2 linked regions of the Nothobranchius furzeri genome follow. Each later gene encodes a partner of the first gene's protein in a complex. Links are inferred from orthologs where the notes say so. Each region holds a gene or a part of one and is shown on either strand. Other genes may lie near its edges.

The links.
Region 2: trappc8 (region 1) and trappc11 share a complex: the UniProt entries of both Homo sapiens proteins name them as parts of the multisubunit TRAPP (transport protein particle) complex. The link is inferred for Nothobranchius furzeri from reciprocal best matches to the Homo sapiens genes TRAPPC8 and TRAPPC11.

What each region holds. Positions count from the first base shown.
Region 1 is NC_091756.1:54,980,592-54,984,416, reverse strand, and holds part of trappc8 (trafficking protein particle complex subunit 8), read right to left. Parts: coding exon 3,814-3,825; intron 3,062-3,813; coding exon 2,974-3,061; intron 2,852-2,973; coding exon 2,592-2,851; intron 2,510-2,591; coding exon 2,400-2,509; intron 2,311-2,399; coding exon 2,160-2,310; intron 1-2,159. UniProt on the Homo sapiens protein: Plays a role in endoplasmic reticulum to Golgi apparatus trafficking at a very early stage. Maintains together with TBC1D14 the cycling pool of ATG9 required for initiation of autophagy. Involved in collagen secretion.
Region 2 is NC_091741.1:109,664,738-109,667,645, reverse strand, and holds part of trappc11 (trafficking protein particle complex subunit 11), read right to left. Parts: intron 2,871-2,908; coding exon 2,677-2,870; intron 2,585-2,676; coding exon 2,436-2,584; intron 1,533-2,435; coding exon 1,411-1,532; intron 1,308-1,410; coding exon 1,188-1,307; intron 1,098-1,187; coding exon 1,032-1,097; intron 854-1,031; coding exon 697-853; intron 620-696; coding exon 508-619; intron 371-507; coding exon 279-370; intron 163-278; coding exon 29-162; intron 1-28. UniProt on the Homo sapiens protein: Involved in endoplasmic reticulum to Golgi apparatus trafficking at a very early stage.

The sequences.
Region 1 (3,825 bases):
TCATCTCAAGGCACTTCACACTGTAAATATTCCAATACAGTTCAGTTCATTAAGACAAAATCAGTAAAACGTTTCCTATATAAGGAACCCAGCAGATTGCATCGAGTCAGTGACAGGCGTCAGTGTCTTTACAGCAATAAAGCATTTTTTTATTTAAAAAGACAGTTTTTGCTTTTAAATCTCTCATTTTTTTCCCATTTTCAGTTGCTTATCCAGGGCCGGGTCATGGGGCAGTAGCCTAAGCAGGGACGCCCAGACCAGACCCTCTCCCCAGCCACTTAAGCCAGCTCCTCCGGGCAATCCTAAGGCGTTCCCTGGCCAGCTGAGAGGCATAGTCTAGCAGGTCAGCTCATTTCAGCCGCTTGTATCCACGATCTCGTTCTTTCTGTCACTAGCCGAAGCTCGTGACCATAGATGAGGGTAGGAACGTAGATAGACCGGTAAATCATGAGATTTGCCTTCCGGCTCAGCTCTCCCTTCGCCACGACAGATCGGTACAACACCTGCATCACTCTCCATCTTTCCCTCACTCGTGAACAAGACCCAAGATACTTAAACTCCTACACTTGAGACAGGACCTCATCCCTGACCTGGAGAAGGCATTCTACCCTTTTCTGTCTCAAGACCATGGTCTCGGATTTAGAGGAGCTGATTCTCATCCCAGTTGCTTCACACTCGGGTGTTTTTAAATCTCACAGCTTTAGTAGACAAACGTGATACAGGTTTTGAACCTTTATATGGTGGCTTCTTTTAAAGGTGTGTGGTTCACTGAAAATGATTATTACTGATTATAATGGGTCACTCTGAGTTTTTTATGCATGAAAATAGTCTCCTACACCTATTTCCTGCATTAACTTCTGATAGAAAATAGGCGGTGAAACTTTAGGATCTGAAAAGCCTGACAGATCTACGTCAAGTGGCCACTTTACATTCGTGGACTCACCCATCTCGATTCACGATGAGGAAGGTTGTTGTCATTTTAGTGTCCAGGAAACAGCAGAGAATGGCAAGTAGAAGCTAACTGTTAGCATTAAGCCGGGCGTACACTGTGCGACTTTTTCACTCGTAGCACTCAGCTTCAGCTCAAACTGTACGACTTCCTCGCAGAGCAGATCTCACGAGTCATGTGCTCACACTGTACGTCTGGTAGCAACACGTCGGCCCTAAAAATATGCTAAAAATAGCAGTTTTTACTCAACACATCAGACTTTTTTGGCTTGTCTTGCCTGTTGTCCTTCGGGAGTGCTGCAGGAGGACACACAGGGATTTATGGAGGTTGGATGAGGAAAACGAAGTAAAGAAAGTAAATCTGTGTTTTGTGATCAGTTTAATTTGACATGAACACGACAAACACGCTTTCTTGACAATCTTTGTGAGTAAAAAAAACGTGTAGAAACAAAAACGAACAACGTGTGTTATTAGGGAAATAGCGGGCGAGCGGTGTTGATGCATGATGGCGCATGCGCCGTGAGCGGTTCTGATACTTTTTGGGTCGCAGCTGCTCGCAGCGCCGCTTCAACAGTGCGATACCCTCACGAGGGACGAGCGAAACATCAAACACGCCAGAAGTCCGTGCGAGCTCACTACTGCTGATCGGTAGCTGGTCACGTGGTGTTAATCGCCTCTCGTAACCCCCTGTACACTACACGACACTCAGCGCTAAACTCGCCCCGATCTTGTGGATTCTCGCACGAGTGGAAAATCGGCTCAAAAAAGTGAAAAAGTCGCACAGTGTACGCCCGGGTTTAGCAACTCTACCACACAGCAGAACTCCTCCAGGCTTTTGTTATTTGTGGAGATAAAACATCAGCGTTGTAGAGCAAACAGAGTCAGTGGTAGAGCCATGTTGCTGTTAGCCAATCCGAGATGAGCGGTCCAAATATCAGACAACAAGACTCCAAAACCTGCCGTCTGAGTCTCAACTCTGATCTGGCAACATAGTAGTTCCTGAAACAGGCGTACCAGGGCTCCCCCCCCCCCCCCCAAATAACAACTCACTAGGCATTCATTCCTACTAGAGACCAGTGCAAATGTATTGATTAAAAAAGTGAACCACACCTTTTATTGGTACTCTTAAACGAGCCATGAATGAGGTAATTTGTTTGGTTCATCTCTAGTGTGACACACAGCTTCAGCTTCACCGTGTGAGCAGTTCATACCAGTGCTCCTGCAGCATACAGCATGGCCTGGTCCAACAGGAAGTCCTTCTTGGCAGTGTGGTAGCAGCTGTAGGCTAGGTCGTAGTGCTGGACCAGGAAGCAAAGGTCTGCCATCTTCCTGATCTGCAGCTCCGGGGCTTCAGGAGGATATCTGACACCAAAGAGGAGAAAGATGACACCAACACTGCAGGTAAAGTGTCATGCACGGGGTCAAGAGAGAAATGGAAAGAAAGATCTTACAGAAGGTTGCTAGTAGTCTTAGGTTCGTTCTTCTCTGGAACTTTGCCTCCACCAAACCACTTTTTGGTAGCAGTGAACAAAGAGCGACTCAGGCCTTTTCTGGAAAGGAGCTGAGATGAACGGAGACACAAGCTGTGAGGGAGAGGATGGGTGGAAATGTTAGTGCATCAATAGGGACATCTTGAAGTGTACCTGGTCATTCAGCTGTCTGATGTTCTTCTCAACATGTGGGAGCAGACCTCTGAAAGCAAACTCTTGAACAAACTGTCTAACGTGGTCATGATCATTGAGGGTCAGACAGGCTCCATAGCTCCCTGATCCTAACGCTGGATGCTCCGAGTCCCTCGCTCCCGTCTTCAGGTCGACATGGACATCAGTCAGAGTCTGGAGGCTTGCTGAGCTGGTGTCTAACTGGAGAGGATGGACCTCCAGGCTACTGGACAGGCCAGGTCCTGGTCCACATACACACACAGAAGCACACTTTGATTAAAACAAATGAGTTTAGACTTTTCCATAGACGAGCTTTCGAATCAAAACAGAGGTATGTGAACACTGACAAGAGAAACCGACTGACCTGTCTCTGCCGAGTCGCTGCTGTCCACCTCAGTTGCACCAGCACTGGTCTCTGCAACATTAGCAGCTGGAACCAAATCAAACATCTCCTGCAATAGTGATCCTGGTGTTAAACCAGACCAGTACAGAAGAACCAGACTGAAGCATGAGCCAAGAGGAGTTTTAACCTCCAACCTGCTCGTGTTCAGACTAGATCGTTTTTCGGTTGCTAATACTGACACCGCTATTCAGAGGTCGTGGTCAGCTGACGGCCGAAATGTGCTGCCACTTTTCATGGCTGATATCTAGACGTTGTCCACCTTATTTGCATGCTAAAACGTCTCTAATAGCATCCGTGGATTCACAACATTTCTGAACCTAATCAGATCACTGAATTTAACCAACTGTTAAAATTAAAATCAGACATTTAACTAGTTAAAATAAATTGTTTTGTTGTTGTGGAAGAAAAGGAAAAAAAATGTTAATGTGAGAGGAACTAATTGTATGGTCAGATGTGTTTCTATGTATGTTTCTTTCTCAATAAACACATAAGAAAAAAAACAATTAACTGAGCAAGTATTAAATATTAAAAATGGATAAATAAAAAGAAATTTTAGTAGAAAATAATGTTTTTGAGCACTTCCTTTGTGCGGATGTAACTCAGGAACAATATATCGGTCTAGCTCAGACTCTTCAGTCACATTTTATTCTTCAGTTTCTCAGCAGGTGTGAATTGGTGCTAACTACAGATTCTCCAATAAATGTTTGTAATTTTTTGTCAAAGTAAAGTTGTGCTGCAGTAAAAGGACCCAAGTCAGCCCGACCGGGGGGGTGGGGGGGGGGGGGGGATGTGAATCCTCACCTGGTTCCGCTG
Region 2 (2,908 bases), on another chromosome or scaffold:
ACATTTGTTGGACTGATCCTGACTTCACCTGTTTGAGTCCAGAGAACATGAAGGCATCAGATGGTTCCACAGCGATCTCTACCTCCTGCACCAGGGCTGTTCTGTTCTCAATGTGGTAACGAACTGGAAAGGACTCTCTCACTCGCCCAAATGACGGTAAATCTGCAACAGAACAGAGAAAAACCCAAACCCTTACAGTCAACCGGACTGAAACCATTAGCTGCAAACACAAAAAAGCCACCCTGCAAGGCCAGGAGGTTAACACGGCCTGTGCTGACCAGCGGTGATGTAAACAGGAACAGACTCCAGGATCACATGAGGGAGACTGACTGTGGTCTGGATCAGGGGCCCGTCTGGACCAGAGGCCTGCCTGTTTAACAGAGCGAGTGACAGATTTACACACTCACCATTCTGTGTGTGTGTGTGTGTGTGTGTGTGTGTGTGTGTGTGTGTGTGTGTGTGTGTGTGTGTGTGTGTGTGTGTGTGTGTGTGTGCATGCGCGCGTACCTCCTCCATGATACTAGGTACTGTCCTGTCGCTACAGTGTTGGCGCTGTTGGTCCCAGATGGACATCGAAGACAAAAACACTCACTGGCACACTCACCAGTCTGAATAACCACTGAAAATCAAAATACACACACGTCAGGATGTGAATGTGAAGTCTGTGTGGTGTAGGACTAGAACCGGGTCTGGTACCATGCTGCAGCTGTGACTGGAGCTGAGTCGTGCTGCTGCTCAGTGTGAGCAGCTGCAGGGAGGAGGAGCTCAGCATCAGGGGCCACGGAGACAAAGAGACCAGGTCTGTCATCAGCAGGAAGGGAATGTCCACCGCTACCTGCTCCAGAGGCTCAAACTGAAAACACACACACACACACACACACACACACACAAACACACGCCTTCTTCTCATTAAAGCTGCACCATCATCAGTCTATCCATCCTGGTCTCTCATCCTCTACTGGGACATGAGACTCAAACAGGTCTCAGTGGTGACGATGAAAACAAAAGGAAAACCAGAGAAAGCTGCCCACCTTGGTAGATACAAACTTGACTGACACCTCAAACGGGACGACCGTCTCTATGGTTACCATCTCATCCTGGAAGACAAAGGAAAACAAAGACCTAATTAGGAAAACCCAGAGGTGGAGTGATGTTTTAGGCAGTGAGACTTAGTCCAACTCAGAGACCTTATGGCATCTGCACACAATCTGTCGTCCTTCCACTTCTGTGTCGATGCTGTAGGCCACCTGAAACAGGAAGACCCTTGGCCCAGTGGACGCACACCTCACAAAAACACACCTCTCCAGCTAGAGTCAAGCACACACAGACAGAAAGAGAAATCACTGTCCCTCTGCTGCTGGGTAATGCAGACAGGTGCGCATGTGTGCGTGTTCAGGCAGAAGTGAGCACCTTTTCTCCAGGTTTCAGGTCACCCAGAGGCACATCGGTGAGCAGAGCTGGAGCACCATCGTCACAAACGCTGGAGCCGTCGAGGGTCACATGGGTAGCTAGGCCCAGATTTGCATCCTGGCCTGGAAAAGACACGATGACCAGGATGACTGCGTATACTGGTGGTTGTGTTCTCTCAGTACACACACACACACACACACACACAAAAACACACACACACGACTAGGGTCGGGCATCGAGCATCGATTATGTAACTGAACGGAATGACTGTTTTTTTTCCTCCTCTGCTCAAGACTAGTCTGCATGAGATAAGTCTCAAGGTCTCGTGCATTCCTTCTAACCTGCTTATTTTCAGCTCAACAGAAGAACGAAGAATGAACTCTTTTCTTTTAATTAATCAAAGAACTCTATTTTAATAAAGCTAATCCATCAAAGTGTTAGTCAACAAATAAGATGTGACCGATCTGTGAAATCAAAATATTAATTACTTTATTATAATCCTATAGAATATAACGGTACTGTGACTTTAAATATTCCAACAGGACTCATTTCACGAAGCGTTAAAAAGACATGACACATTCCTTTCACTGAGCCAATCAGAATCTAACAGATCTGACGGAGGCGTAGTTCTGATGGTGTTTGGTAATTTTTCATTCGACAATAAATCATAACATCCAAAGTATAAAACTATGCCATGTCAGCTCTAACGCCAGCTCAAAGTGTTCCAGAGAAAGTGACGGAGTGGCCAATCCTGATCTATACTCTTCAACCGAAAGAACAACGACAAGCTGGAAAAATTCATTGCTATATCAACTGCGGCAACAGTTCCTTTCAGAATAAAAGCTGAACCATCAAGAGCCAGGCTTGGGTCTCACCAGACGCCAACAAAATTGCCGTGACCCAGAAGTAACTACCAGGGCCTCTGCCCCCCCCGCTACAATGAGCCCACCCACTAGAGTTGTTTATCGAGTCGAGTCAAGCCGTGCTCAGTAGTGGGAAACCCTCATTATCTAGTATCAGTTTACCTGGTTTGAGACCTGCTGTCAGTCTGATGTCTTGAGCCACAGCCGCCTCCTGTGACTGGACAGTGAAGCAGATGCAGTACATTTCATTCTTGAGGACAGGAGGCTGGTGGCTCAGGTGGACAGAGATCTTTGGGATTCTGGATATGATCCTAAACACGAGAAAACAAGCAGAAATATCCACATGAGCAGCTGTTCAGTTACAGGAAGAGTGTTAAAAATGAAAGGTTTCTGATGACATTACATGGTGCTATGTTGAACAGTCAGACTGTCCCAGTCAAGCTCCTGACGTGCCCCAAGGCCACGCCACCACCTGCGTGATGACCTGCTGGCCTGCAGGGCCTCCTGGGCTGAAGCAGTGTCTCCACCAGCACCTCTCCAGCTCAGAAAAACACAGCGGCCACTGTCGCTGCCCAGCACCAACTCAATGCCAGTAATCTGTGCGTGCACAAATGACAAACACGCAGTTAGCTGCA